Linked DNA regions of Oryzias latipes. The protein of the gene in region 1 purifies or fractionates together with the protein of each later gene. This does not show direct contact. Links are inferred from orthologs where the notes say so. Each region holds a gene or a part of one and is shown in the gene's direction. Other genes may lie near its edges.

Evidence for each region. The genes of interacting proteins can lie anywhere in the genome.
Region 2: the proteins of sympk (region 1) and cpeb1 purify together in Homo sapiens (affinity purification with mass spectrometry; 3 studies listed by BioGRID and IntAct, counting the BioPlex papers as one, with this or other methods). This does not show direct contact. The link is inferred for Oryzias latipes from reciprocal best matches to the Homo sapiens genes SYMPK and CPEB1.
Region 3: the proteins of sympk (region 1) and cpsf4 purify together in Homo sapiens (affinity purification with mass spectrometry; 4 studies listed by BioGRID and IntAct, counting the BioPlex papers as one, with this or other methods). This does not show direct contact. The link is inferred for Oryzias latipes from reciprocal best matches to the Homo sapiens genes SYMPK and CPSF4.

Annotation. Positions count from the first base shown.
Region 1 is NC_019879.2:16,687,508-16,691,714, reverse strand, and holds part of sympk (symplekin), read left to right. Parts: coding exon 1-112; intron 113-783; coding exon 784-935; intron 936-1,014; coding exon 1,015-1,165; intron 1,166-1,288; coding exon 1,289-1,511; intron 1,512-1,590; coding exon 1,591-1,741; intron 1,742-1,858; coding exon 1,859-2,094; intron 2,095-2,182; coding exon 2,183-2,264; intron 2,265-2,360; coding exon 2,361-2,474; intron 2,475-2,538; coding exon 2,539-2,686; intron 2,687-2,772; coding exon 2,773-2,933; intron 2,934-3,625; coding exon 3,626-3,734; intron 3,735-3,870; coding exon 3,871-3,971; intron 3,972-4,060; coding exon 4,061-4,151; intron 4,152-4,207. UniProt on the Homo sapiens protein: Scaffold protein that functions as a component of a multimolecular complex involved in histone mRNA 3'-end processing. Specific component of the tight junction (TJ) plaque, but might not be an exclusively junctional component. May have a house-keeping rule.
Region 2 is NC_019861.2:10,606,796-10,612,057, forward strand, and holds the start of cpeb1 (cytoplasmic polyadenylation element-binding protein 1), read left to right. Parts: upstream 1-2,159; 5' UTR 2,160-2,254; coding exon 2,255-2,269; intron 2,270-2,453; coding exon 2,454-2,628; intron 2,629-4,730; exon of another isoform or gene 4,731-4,944; coding exon of another isoform or gene 4,945-4,975; intron 4,976-5,161; coding exon 5,162-5,262. Other genes in the region: transcription factor Adf-1-like, read right to left, coding at 206-338.
Region 3 is NC_019866.2:19,283,032-19,288,295, reverse strand, and holds the start of cpsf4 (cleavage and polyadenylation specificity factor subunit 4), read left to right. Parts: upstream 1-2,161; 5' UTR 2,162-2,476; coding exon 2,477-2,579; intron 2,580-2,736; coding exon 2,737-2,787; intron 2,788-3,783; coding exon 3,784-3,936; intron 3,937-4,023; coding exon 4,024-4,119; intron 4,120-4,937; coding exon 4,938-5,031; intron 5,032-5,127; coding exon 5,128-5,200; intron 5,201-5,264. Other genes in the region: shmt1 (serine hydroxymethyltransferase, cytosolic), read left to right, coding at 1-81, 149-265, 369-479, 568-740. UniProt on the Homo sapiens protein: Component of the cleavage and polyadenylation specificity factor (CPSF) complex that play a key role in pre-mRNA 3'-end formation, recognizing the AAUAAA signal sequence and interacting with poly(A) polymerase and other factors to bring about cleavage and poly(A) addition.

The DNA of each region.
Region 1 (4,207 bases):
CTGGATCTGGGAATGCCTCAGACTGAGATAACTCGAAACACTCCTGTACCACGAGAGCCTCGCAAGAGGCCTCGCTATGAGCAATACACAGAGGGAAAGAAGGTCAAGATTGGTGAGTAGTTCACCACAAAAATGCAGACTGCCTTAGAAAATAACATTTTTATAAAAAAAAAACAGTCTTTAAAGGACTTGTTGAAAGATTACGAGTGTTTGTTTTCTTGCCATCACTTGCAGAGGCTGTAACTTTGCTTTACTTAGTTTTTCTTTCTGCACAGGTTAGTCTCTATTGCAGCAGCATCACACCCAGAGATTCTTTAGATTACTGTGTGGTGACTCTGTAGTTTTAGATTGACTAATAGAAATAGAATTTTAGATTCAAAATTTTAGGTTATTCTTGCTCTTTTCTTAATTCCCCCACGGTTTATATTTTAATGTTTCATTTTGTGCTATCAGTGTGGATTATAAATTCACTATGGATTTGTTTTAATTTGTGACAACAATTACAGACATTTTTTGAATTTAAAACATATTTTGGGTACTCCGATCCCGTTTCATTACAGGTTTTCTTTTCTTCTTCTTTTTTTATTCCAATAATGTTGTTTTTGGGAATATTCTGAATGAAATTAGCATAACTCATGTCTAACCATATTTGGGCATCGGAGGCCTATAAAAATTGCTTTTGCAAAGACACATGGTTTCTTTATTTATTATGGTTTTTTAAAATTGCTTTTGCAAAGACACATGGTTTCTTTATTGATTTATGGTGCGTGTTCTACTGTTTAGAACCAGCTCTTATGGAAGATGATGAAGACAAGGAGGAGCCAGCCCCCCTCGCAGCCCCCAAGCCAGCGGCCGTTCCAGCCGTGCAGTCTGCCCTTGACCTTACGGCCGAGTTCCTTCACCCGCTGCTAACTCCTGAAAATGTCGCCAACCTCGTAAGTGTCTGAGATCATTCTCAGGCTGTCTTTTTTTCTGAGGGTTTGTGTCCTAAAACTCTTCATTACCTCGGTTTAGGTGCTCATCAGCATGGTGTATCTGCCTGATGTGATGCCAGCATCTTTCCAGGCCACATACACACCTGTTGAATCTGCAGGTACTGATGCGCAGATTAAACATCTGGCCAGGATGATGGCTACACAGATGACTGCAGCTGGAATTGGTCCAGGTGAGCATCACAAACGTGCACCAGAAACACTTCATAGTAAAAGAAAAAAACATAAAACGAAATAAGAATCCTCAAAGATGCTGGTTTGTCTTATATGAGCATTTTCTGAACTTTGAACCTTAGGTCTTGAACAAAGCAAAGCAAAGGGGGATGAGGCTTGCAAAGAGGAACAGAGCGAGGAAGACTCTACTGCTAAAGACATTCTCATCAAACGCAAAGTTCCTGCTGTGATCTTGGGCCAAGCCATCTCTGTGGTCGGAGGTTACTCCGAGAAGCCCTCTGCTACGGAACCTCCAGCCGCACCAAAGAGGCTTCCAGAGCCCATCCTTCCATCTGCACCAACCAAGTGAGTTCTAGCACTTCATTCAGACAGCAAAGAGGGTGAGATCTCGCTTGTCACCCCGCATGATTCTGGTTCTTTACAGGTTGATGGGGGCAAGCGGTAGGAAAAAAGTGTTCCGCTTGTCAGATGTTGTTCAGCCTCTATCAGACACCCAGAATGAGAAGTTGACTTCAAGCGCTGTGAAGCGCATTTTACATTCAGAGAAAGCGATTGCACAAAGTGGAATGTCCCATGTGAGTAACCCAAATCAGGATACATCTTGACTTTAACGAGTGCAGGGGGGTTAAAACTGGATAGGGTCAGTCTATTTCCTTCCTTTGGGGTATAAGAATGTAAAATCTGTGTTGCAGATCAGAGTAAAGCTCCTCTCCAGACTTGTGACACAGTTTGAAGGAATGATGAAAGAGGACGTACTTCAATTTATTTTAGAGGACATCCGGTCAAGGAGTGATCTGGCCTTTTCTCTGCTCTACCAAGAGTATAACACTTACCTCAGCCAGCTCCCTTCAGGCCTGCTGGACAGCTATGATCAGTGTCTTTTCACTCTGCTGTCAGGCCTGCAGGAGAAGCCTGAGCAGAGGGATGGGTAAGAACACATGCTTGGTATCAAGATTTGCTACATTGCTTTGGTTGCTGTGTATGTATAGGAAGATTTGTGTGTTCCTTATTTCTAGGCTTTTCACCAAGCTGGTACTGGAGGCTCCCATTATAACCGAATCTGCATTAGAAGTAATCCGGCGTTACTGTGAGGACGAGGTAAAAAAACAAAACACAAAAAAGCCCAGCTGTACTCCGGTGGCTACTTCTCAACCTTTCCTTCAGCATTCTGTGAGCCATTTCCTTTCGTTTCAGTCTCGCGTATATTTAGGAATGACAACTCTGAAGGAGCTCATAGTCAAGCGGCCCTCCAGGCAGTTTCAGTATCTGCACGTGCTTCTGGATCTCAGCTCCAACGAGAAAGAGAAGGTGATGCTGGGATGGGCACGTGTCTGATCTGTTCTTGTGCTAAATATCTGCTCTTCCATTTCAGGTGCGCACCACTGCCTTGGCTTTTCTGAAGCGCATGTATGAGAAAGACCAACTGAGGGATTACATCGAGAAGTTTGCTCTAAACTACCTGCAGCTTCTGGTTCACCCCAACCCGCCATCTTTGCTCTTTGGAGCCGACAAGGATACAGGTTTGTTCATAACATATCTGACTTATGATTGTGATGATGCGATCTTCACATTTTTGCCTCAATGCTCTTTGCATTTGTTGACACAGAGGTGGCTGCCCCCTGGACTGAAGAGACAGTGAGACAGTGTCTTTTCCTTTACCTGTCCCTGCTTCCTTTGAACCACCGGCTGGTCCACGAGCTGGCTTCCGTCTACACTGAAGCCATTGCTGACATCAAACGCAGCGTCCTCCGAGCAATAGAGCAGCCTGTAAGGCTTTCCTCACTCATTTGTTTAGGAAAGTTTGGGTTGTTTGAGTCATAAGCAGCGTGAAACATAAACCAACCCCTCAGAATAATAATAAAAAAAACAATTTAACAGTCAAACTTTTTAACTTTATGGTTTTGCCTAAATCACGCAAATTAAAACAAAACATAAAATAAAATCAGAGTTCATGCTTCCATTGATGAAATGATGAGAATGTTTTAATTGGTCAGCAGTAATGCCACTGTAATGCAGGTTTATTTTAATTGTATTTTGACCTATTTATGGGTTTACCATTATAAACTTCAGTACATGAGTTAGTTTGTACATTCCATCAGAAAAAGAAATTATTCTACTACTTTTCCTTTTAAGGAAGTGCCTTTAAACACCAATTGAAATGTTTTTGTGTACATCTTAAATTAGTCTAAATTTTTTTGTTTGATTTCATGTTTCAACAAAAATTTCCTTTTTTTCTCCCTATTTTCAGTTTTTCTCTACATTCTTGAAACTTCTCACCTCACACCTCTTCCTTATGAACAAAAACAAACAGTTTGAGAGCAGAACGAGATATTAGATCTCTGTACCTTTTTAAAGTCTGATGAAGGGCTTTCACAAGACCTCAAGAAAATCAAAAAGGAAATGATTTGAACTAAATCATTTGAGTAGTTTGTGCTTTTTGATTTATCTCTTTGCTTTAGATTCGTGGAATGGGGATGAACTCTCCAGAGCTGCTACTGCTGGTTGAAAATTGTCCTAAAGGAGCAGAGACTCTGGTCACTCGCTGCCTGCACATATTGACTGATAAAGGTAATGTTTAATTTGTACTGGATTTAGGTCACAGAGTGGAGATTTTTCTGAAAGGAAAATGTATTTTTGCATGATTTGGTGCATTGTCCTCCATGAGAGCGTACAATGAAATATGTGGAAACTGTCTTTATTGTAGTGCCACCATCACCAGAGCTGGTGGAGAGGGTGCGAGACCTTTACCACAAAAGAGTGCCAGATGTTCGCTTCCTAATCCCCGTCATAAATGGTCTTGAAAAGGTGCCAGTCTAGTTAACAGTCAGTGAATCAACCGCTAGGATTTTTCGGGATTGTCTTTACTATTCCTGTTTGTTTTTGGTTATCTATAGAATGAAGTCATCCAGGCTCTCCCTAAACTCATCAAACTGAACCCGATTGTTGTGAAGGAGGTCTTCAACAGACTCTTAGGAACTCAGCACAGTAAGAGCTATTTTTATCTAATGTTTGCATAATTCTTTGAATCCATGCTTAATTTT
Region 2 (5,262 bases), on another chromosome or scaffold:
ACCAAGATGGCGGTGCTCTCCTCCCATGAGGAACCACGTGATGTCTCCTCTAGTGATATAACTCATTGATGAAACCACATAGCTTCAGTTCAGGGGATCGTTTACAGCAGTTTTGGATGACTTGAAGATACAAAGCTAGTTAAAGCCCTACGACCTAAGTGTTACACCAATAATTTAAATGATTGAAATAAGAGATTTTACTCACCATCAATATCCATGACGTTGGCAATCAGGCCCCATGCCCTCTCCTTCCTCACTGAGTCCTTGTAAAATAGATGTTTTGTGTCATAAAGGATGTTGTGTTTTTGTACTTCTAAAATTAAACGTTCGTCGTCCATTGTTGGTGTTTTCCGCGGTGGTACTAGGCGCGTTATGGTTATTGCGTGGTCACTTTCCCTTAAACATAACACAACATTTTATAAAGCTTTATTTTGACAGTACAACGGAACTCCTAACGCCTGATATGTACTAGTCCGTCTGCAGTGCGTCAACACTGCGTTGCGTTGCCACAAAATAACAGAACGTTCACTAAATCAATAGAAGTGATGTTTACGTCGCCTCCATCATGTCTGCGTCTGACTTCCGTCCGCCACGCAACGCAAGCTTTACGCAGGGAGTTCTATTTCCTGTCCGTCGACGCGCCAATTTCATGGTAAAAAGCCAGAGAAACAGCAAACACATCCGGCTATCAAAATAAAAGGCTTCCGTTGTACTTTCACAATAAAGATTTATGAGAAATATCAGACGCACCTTAGACAAACCGGTGTAAATCCAGCGTTGGTCCGGTTAAATCAGGCATTTTTCAGGCATAAAAACAAAAACCTAATTCGAGGAATTTGGGTCTCTTCTGCAGAACAGCCTCCCTGCGGGATCTGAGAACTTCATCTGGAGTTGAGGAATTTAAAAAGAAGACCCACCTTTTTAACTTGTCATTTAAAAATAAATGTTCTAATTTATTACTATTTGCATTTTATTTACCTGCATACTGGTAGTTCATTTCTGTTTTCAAAAAGACTGTTTAAGAATCATGATCTCTGCTTCTACATTTTTTTTGATGATGCACTCCCTGATATGCACAAAACAGAAAAAAAACTACAAGAAAATAAACATTGTAAAGAGAAAAAAGCATTAAAAACAATAAAACAAAAAATTAAACAAGTCCAGTTTGTTTATGAAAAACAGCATCCTATGACTTATTAAACTACAAAAAGTTTCCATGTTTTCTCTTTCTTTTTCTTTAGAAGAAAAAAAACACTAGTGAAATTAGACACCAACCACAAAGATAAGTCGTTCTTTGCTTTTTTAGTTAATGTTAATGTATATATATATATATATATATATATATATATATATATATATATATATATATATATATATATATATATATATATATACATATACATATATATATATATATATATATATATATATATATATATATATATATATATATATATATATATATATATATATATATATATATATATATATATATATATATATATATATATATATACATATATATATATATATATACATATATATATATATATATATATATATACATATATATATATATATATGTGTGTGTGTGTGTGTGTATATATATATATATATGTGTGTGTGTATATATATATACACACACACACACATAAAAAAGTCATTCTCAGTGACTGCTGCTGGGTTCATAGTCAATGTTTGGGTTTGAGAAGTCTCGCTTAAGTACTGTTGTTTTGGGGGAGTCTGGAAAAAAATATTTCGAGGATCTAATTAAATAATTTAATTATTATGAAAAATGTTTGTTAAAGTCATTTCTGAGGATTTGTATAGCGTAACGACAATATTTAAAGTGAGTCCTGAAGTGTCACAATGGACCATTGAGTGGTACATTCCATTTTAGAACCACTAGTAAAGAAAATGCCCTTTTTTAAATAAATATATAACCTTTTTTCCCCTTCTAAAATAGCGTGCTATTGTTAGTTACCTTTTTAAACCATACATATCATATTTCTTTCAAACAAAGCGGTTTTAAGGGTAAAACATAAAGATTTTACTTTTCTAGAGTTTTGGACAAGCTCTGATCATGTGGGTCACGTGAGCAGACGACGGCCCTCGAGGCGCAGACATGAGTCGACCACACGTTTGTCACATCATGACTAATTAGTTTCAAGCAAACCTCATAAATGTGACTCTTTCCCTACAGGCAGGGGTCGTTATTATTGTGACACTTCTTTTTAGGCTTTCTGTCCACATTATGGCGTTTTCCTTGGTGAGTTGAAAATTAAATTAGTGAGGGAGTCCGTTAATTTTTTGGTTATAAAACACCGTTGGTATCGTCTCTATAAAACTAAATGACAACGTTTCTTTAACAAAATAAATATAATATTAAAAACTGTGTGCTAATGAGTGTTAGCTTAATTGGAGGTGAACTTTGGCCGCTCTTTTTCTCGCAGAGGAACGATGCCCGCAGGCCGGAGAACCCGGACACCGAGTCTCCTGCGCTGTCCACCTGCAGCAACGCGGACATCTTCCGCAGGATGAACTCCATCCTGGGAAACGCTCTGGACTTCACCGGAGTGTGCAGCACACCCAACAGTAGCAGCAAGCAGAAGCCAGACCTGCTATGTGGTGACTTGTTACATTTCTGTCTTCACACGCGGGACCGAGTTAACTTTGAATTACTAGCTTGTTGGTTGTCAGCTAGCTTAAGCAGTCAATGAAATGGTAACTTCTGTGACTTTTCATGGAACTGTGGCTTTTATATGAACTTAAACTCTGATTGGGTCACTTTGCTGTCCTAAAGGTCACGACCTAACAATTTACCACCACTGAATTTGGGACACTTTATATCCATAACTTCAAAGATCTTGTGCTTTGGAAAGCTAAATGTAGAAGTAACAACTCAAAATGTTTTTTTAACTAAATTTTAATTTAAATCTTTTTTTTTTTTTTTTTTTTGTAATACAAATGTTCCAATAAATTAATCTTGCATGGGTAGCTCAGTTTACCTAATAATCATTTGAGTTTTTAAAAAATCTGTTTTCTGGGACATTTGGAAAATCAGACAGTTGGAGCAGAGTAAGGCTGCCCTCATTTCCCATCATCCCTTTGTGTACACACACACACACTAGCTTAAGCTGCTCACACCCCCAACTTAAAATTGGCGACGCAACAAAAATGGTGAGCAAAACTGGAGCTAACCAGCCACACAGTTTTGAGCCAGATGCCGGCTCGGACGTGGAAAAAAGACTTGAAAGCATCTCGTCATCTGCAAGTGGACTCATCAGAACGGAGCTAAGCAGGGAGCTTGTGGCCTGCCGATTTTTAGCACCTACATCACTGCTTCAGGCTTTGTCCCACAGTATTTACGTCGTCTGCTCCTGATTTAAAAACAAAAAATTGGAATGCATACTCAAAAGGTTGTTTTTGAGAAATGCCTTTTACACGTTAAACAGTTTTAATTGGAATTTGGGCAGCAAAGTTGTGTTTAGTTACCTATTGTAAAGGCCCAACAGTTTTTAAAAAAAATATAAAACATGTTTTTTGTGGCATTTTTCTAATGGACATGTATAAAGTAAATTCAGCTTAAATGGCATTTCCAAGTGTTATTGAAATTGTAATGAAACGGGAGCAGAGCTGCACAAAGTGTATTTGTGACGTTGAAACTGCAATTAATGGACCACAAGTTTTCCACTTTGCCCAATTTCCTAACCTTCCTCCGAGCTGGCATCTGACTCGAAGCTGGACGGCTTCAATATTGCTCACCATCTTTGTCGCTGCACTGCTAATGTTGGGTTAGGGTTGTGAAGGGCTGTAAGCCAGTGGGAGAGGGCGTAAATGTGTGGCAGGAAGTGGGGTCCCACCTACAACTTGGAGGCGAATTTCTAATTAACTCTTGCTTTACTCTGCAAAAATTGTCAAAACTTTTTTTCTTGTCCCAGAAATGGCATAATTAAAATATCACTGAACACTTAATATCACTGAACACTTAAAATAAATCAAGACATTTCAAGGCACTCAAGTGTTTTGCCTCATGGTCTGTTAAATCTCTCACCTTTTCGTTTATCACTTGCCTTGCCAACAGCTGATTCATGCTGCATCAATAGTCTGCAGCATTGCACCAGTTTTAAACGGCCATTTCTTCCTTTCTTACTCGGTGGGAATTGCCAGGAAAAGCTCAGCATTGTTTTTGCATAACTTTTTTTTTTCTCTTCTCTAGAATAACCTTTTCTTTAAAACATAGTTGCACAATATTTTCCCTCTTCATCAGCATCATGAATCAGAAGTGTAAATCTGTTAGTTTTTTTTTTTTTTTTGCTAACTGACCTAAACCTCTGCTGTGGCCTTTGCCCTCTCCAGCCCAGATTGAGTTGCTGAATCAGAGGTACGACTGGATGCTGGTAGCTTTCCAGTTGTGGGGAGAGGAGGAGCTGGCAGTGCAAAATAGCTCAAACCTCATCATCTGATCAGTCAGCTGCTCCTGCAAAAATGTGCTTAAATGCCAGTCTCCCTTTTTGTTTTAGAAACCTTTTTATGTCAGAAGTTTCAAACTGAAGTTATTAAAAAAATCCTACTTCTTTGGGTTTAAAATACTTTAGAGTCAAAGTCTGCTGAGTCACTCACTGCCAGACTTCCTCCCACCATTCTGTTGTAGTTCTGTCCCTCGACTCCCCCCCTCCCTCCAGTCGTGGTCTGCTCACTCAGAAAGCCAGAGCAGATACGGTAAGCAGCAGCTGCCACCACCGCTAACTGAGCCGCTGTGCACCCACCACAGAGGGACGTACTTCATTCAGCCGGCCGGCGCAACTGGAATTTTTCATTACTGAGTTGTTCAGCAAGGAGGTGGGGGTGGAGGGGGAGCTGATGTCATTAGCAGGGGCGTGCGAGTGCATCAGCAGCCATGTCACATGCTACTAGGTGGGTCAGTGATGCGAACAGGGATGCATGGCAGTTGCACCGGGCACAGAGGCAGCAGGTTAGCTCCACTGTTAGCAGAGCTGAGTGTTTTAAAGAGTTGGTTGTTTTTTTGTTTTGTTTGTTTTTAATCAGATGTGGCTTTGCAGATCTCATTCTGTCTGTCACCAGTGGGATACAAGTGTTGCTAACACTCTTTTTTTCCTTGTCTTTTACCATCGTTTGAATTGGATCTTGGCACCTGAAGAGTCTGAGCTGGCTGCAGTGGGCAGCAGGAGGATGCTTTTCCCCAACTGTGGGGGCATCCCCGGATCCCAGGATATGCCTCCATCCCGGGGCCAGTCGACT
Region 3 (5,264 bases), on another chromosome or scaffold:
AGGTCTACCAGCAGCAGGTTCTTGCTAACTGTAAAGCTCTGTCCAATGCCCTCGTGGGCCACGGCTACAAGATTGTTACTGGTAAGATCTGTAATTATATGGATTTTCTTCCATGGGATGTTTTCTGATGTTCTGTGTTTCTATAAAGGCGGTTCTGACAACCATCTAATCCTCCTGGACCTGCGCAACAAAGGTACTGATGGTGGACGAGCTGAGAAGGTGCTGGAGGCCTGTGCTATTGCCTGCAATAAGAACACCTGTCCAGGTATTCAGACATAAGCTGGGGTGCAAATGAGTTGATCAGTTTGTAAGCTTAAGAGGGAAGGAACCTTTCAAATATCTTTTTTTTTTTTGTTGTATTTTTGCAGGAGACAAGAGCGCTCTCCGTCCCAGTGGACTCAGGTTTGGCTCTCCAGCTCTGACCTCCAGGGGCTTGGTGGAGGAAGACTTCAAGAAGGTGGCTTTGTTCATCCACAAAGGTGCACCATCCATCTAAAAATGCTCCTAAAAACATAAAGTGATGTTTCTCAGGCAAAACGTGACTTTCGCCAATGTTTTTTCCTGTAGCTGTTGAATTGACCCTGGATGTGCAGAGGAGCCAGGATCCCAAAGCCACTCTGAAGGAGTTTGTCCAGGCTCTGGCTCAGGGAGAGAAGTTTCAGGAGCGAGTAGCTGCGCTGAGAGCCGAGGTGGAGGCTTTTGCCGGTCAGTTCCCCATGCCCGGCCTGCCGGAACTGTGAGGCCAGACGAGAGTTGGACTAACGTTTATTGTTTAAACACACCAGTCAATGGGTGTATTCTGACCTTAAAGCATTCCTCACTTGATAATTCAATAGAATTGTTTTTATTAAAGACACATTTAAGCTCAGTCCTGCAAATGTCATTGTGTCATGATTTAGTAATGTTACAGAGTCCTGATGTTTTACTTGGGATTCACATCTTTTAGATGTTACGATCAAAACTGACTGGAAATTCATGACTGGAATTTCGATTTTTAGTAAATTAAGTCCAAAAACATTCCATGAGTATGTGTAACTCATTCACTGTAATAAAAAGATTTCATGAAACCGCCAATGAATACTGTTTTTTCTTTGTCCTTTTAAAGACTAATACAATAAAATCTTCTTATTTTTATTGATATCTAAAGTTTTAGGTTATTTTGCCATATTCCTGATAACATCATTACTTCTGCTTTCTTTTGGTTTATTTTATAGCCTGAAACGTCTATATTCCTGTCAACATGACGTAAGTCTTGAAGCAACGGGCTTTTAACAAATAGCAAAATATCATTGGCATAAAGGGATCATTTATAAATAAACTCCTGTATGAATTTCTTGATGTATCATCTCTCTTAGAGGTTTGATACAAAAAAGGGTAGAGGGTAAGGTCTGACTCCCCTTTATTTTATTTTCTATTATTTAAAAAACTGTAATGTCCAATCATTTTTACTTTGATTTAGAGTTCTTGTACAGGCATCTAAACCAACAATTACATGTTTTTCCAAATTCGAACTAATAATCGAACTTGCAAAATGTCCAATCTATTTTGTCAAAAGCCTTTTCAGCATCTATGTATTGAAGTATTAAAGTATTGAATACTGTTTTTTTTTTCTTTTTCCACTGTAGAAAAACACAATAAAAGCTTAGAAAGCTTATTCTTGCTTAAACATGTCATATCATCATGCTTCCAATGATTATAAAATGCTGAACAATTACTCATTTCTGAAGCGTCGTGTTTCACCCTAAAACCAGCAGATCACAACGTTGTATTAGAGTCTCTTATGCAGTCAATGGATCAAATCATTTGGTTGATCATACCAGACTTTGAATGAGTGATTTTTTGTTTAGGAGAGGGGTTTGCAGTGATGAAGCATCAAAAGCATTTTGTATTCATGATCTGGTGTGTGACATGCTAATCTCTGAATTGAACTTTAACCTGTTTTTTGTTTATTTTTATAAATAATTGGACATGGAAATGCATACACGAGGTGCAAGTTAAGAAAAATGATCAGATGCACATACGTGTCCAATATGTCTAAACAATAAAATAGTAAAATAAATGAAATTTTCATTCGTTTTTGGTCATTTGCCAGAGGCAAAGTGTCAGAAATGAACAGGTTTGGTTAACTCAACGGTGACATCACTCGACTTGCTCGACAATCGTTTAGATCCGTCTGAATTCGTCAGGTCAGAGGTCAATGTGCGCGCGTCCTCAAACAGAACCTCTGTCGATTCGGAGACAAAAATATTAAGTCATGTTCACCTGTTTGTTTGGAAATAGTTGATATAAGGACTTCGGTGATCCTTACCTTATCTCATTGTTATCCTCTGCTCTTGTTGTTTCGCCTGGCTCGCCCCGTTAGCCACTTTAGCTGGCTAATGAGGGAATCGCCGGCTAACAGTTTCGACATTAAGCTATCTTAGCTTAAGTTAACCGAACAAGTCTTTGCTTTGAAAGCTACCAACTCAAGGCAAACATGCAGGAGCTACTAGCAAACGTGGATCACATCAAGTTCGACCTGGAGATCGCTGTGGAGCAGCAGCTGGGAGCGCAGCCTTTGCCGTTTCCCGGCATGGACAGTAAGTGCATGGATGCTAGCTTATGCTAATGCTAGCATCTTTTTTTGTTGAGAATAACCATAGTTTTTCTCAGGTTCGCCCTCTTTGGTTTCTGTTATTTTTAATAGAAACAACACGTTATAATTGTCAGTTCAGTTATAATGTTGTCTTTTTGCAGAGTCCGGCTCAGCTGTGTGCGAGTTCTTCATGAAGGGAACGTGTATGAAAGGTAAAGCATCTACAGTCAGAAGCATCTGTTGCGCTGCTATTATTATCTGCATTTAACAGTTTTAAATGTTCAGAAACGTTTTATTTGGAAGGAAACTGCAATGTTTACATGTTGTTGGTATCGTTTGTCATTTTAGTACGTTGTAGGCGGGAACCAGTTTACTATAACTTTTTTATTACAGAAATAATAAACCGCTGAAAAAAAGTTCTTTGATAAACTAAAGAGGTGGATACAACTATTTTTAAATATTTTTCTTTCATTTAAAATGGTTAATGGTGATTATTATTATTTCTTTCTGGATATGTTTGGTAAACTAAGTAAATTTAAACTTTTTTGTTTTCTTTGCAAAAGTTTGCTTTGAAATAATTATTCTTTAAAACCTTATTTGCATTCTATTGACAAACGCTAACTTGTAAAAAATGTTTAAAATAATTTTTAAACTTTATGAAATAACTCTTTAATAACCTTATTTCCTTTTTCTTAAATAATGAGCCAGAGCTTTAGTTACAAACTACTGCTGTTTGTAAAATCCTGATTTCATTTTTTTTTAATAGATGACTTACACTGATTAAGATTTTTACAGAATTTAGTTGGGACATTTGCCCGTTCGTGGCTTTCACTGTCGTGATGTTCAGTTTACCTTTTACAGCTCTATATTTCATTAACTTCTTGTGTTTTATTGTGATTTTCTGTATGTACTCAGTGTCACACTAAGGCAGACATGAGCAAAATACGGCTAAAAGGTCTGGATGTAATCATTTATGTAATCATTATTGTCTGGCCTTCTTACTTTTTATTTTGTCCTGTTTATGTGCACCCTAAAACCTGTTTTACATTTCTGGGGTTACAAAGAAGGCAGTTCTGCAGAGACTTTATTTTTAATCGTATGTCTATATTTGTGTGAGGTTTTGGTGGGTCACGCTTTCATATAAAAGTGAGGAAAACGATCCCTGCATGTGTCGTATGAATCCACAAAGCTGTGTCTGTGTCTCTCAGGTGGAATGTGTCCGTTCCGTCACATCAGCGGGGAGAAGACGGTGGTGTGTAAGCACTGGCTCAGAGGGCTCTGTAAGAAGGGAGACCAGTGCGAGTTTCTGCACGAATACGACATGACCAAGATGCCTGAATGCTATTTCTACTCAAAGTTTGGTGGGTTCACTTGACTTCCTCGTTTAAAACGCTTTCCATTGCTTAGCACGCAGGTCTGATAGATTCAAACTGTGTGTTGGCTCTCAGGTGAGTGCAGCAACAAGGAATGTCCCTTCCTGCACATCGATCCAGAGTCTAAGATCAAAGACTGTCCTTGGTACGACAGAGGCTTCTGCAAACACGGTAAGGTCCAGCCCAGTGTCAGGTTTTCGTGCTCTGGATTCGTTGTAACCCACATTTTTACCGTTTTTATTTTTTATTTGATTCGGAAAGAGGCTTTATTTTGAAAAATTTCTGAATTCTCCCCACCACATCTGACTCATTCTTGACACATAACAAATTGCTCAGTGACGTGCTGACAAAAACGCAAATGTTCCTGGAAAGTTTTTTTTGTTCATAGAGCATATTAAGTGAGGAAACAGAAGAAGAGCCTTTATCTTCAAAATACAAGAAATCTGCATTTGAACAGACAAAAACCAGGAGTCTTTACTGCAAATGTGGATTCATTGTGACAGTTGTTCCCACACGCCATAACAATGGGGCATCATATTCAGCAACCTGCTGTGTAATGTTACGAGGATGTTTGCAAATAACGTTGCTGAAATGGTTTATTAGTATGTTTAGAAAATACAATTTTTAGACACAATTATTTTTCATATTTATCTGTCCTTAAAAGTCAGACGAGGCTGAAGTTGGAATTCGATTTTTGTAGCTTCCACTTTGACAGTTATGGATTAACGGGCCTGTATCCTGCTTTTCTTAAGCCTTTCAGGGTGAACTATATCCATAGAAATACAAATATTTTACAGACGATGAAGATAAACTTGACCCTCAAAAGTTAAAGGGAAACTGAAGGCAAAGATAAAAAAAAGTTGGTCGTCCCTTTCAGTCTCATACAGACTGCTGTGTGAAAATATTGACTGTTCAATCAGACCGGGGCCTGAAAAAAGTTGGGAACCACTGATATAAGTAATCTTCATTTTGTTCTCCTTCCCCACTAGGTCCTGACTGCAGACACAGACACACCAGAAGAGTGATCTGTGTGAATTATCTGGTGGGCTTCTGTCCAGAAGGCAAATCCTGTAAATTTATGCAGTAAGTAAACATTTCTGCTTTCAATAATGGTGTAATTGGTTTGGGTAAAGTTCTGAATGTGAGCGACATCATGTGATGATAAATGTTCCTCTGCAGCCCGCGGTTTGAGTTGCCTATGGGAACATCTGAACAGCCCCCTCTACCACAGCAAATACAAAACCAGGGAAAGGTGCGAAAATGGATCCAAGATTCAGTACCTGCAAGTGCTTCAAGTATTTCTGGGCTTCAATGGG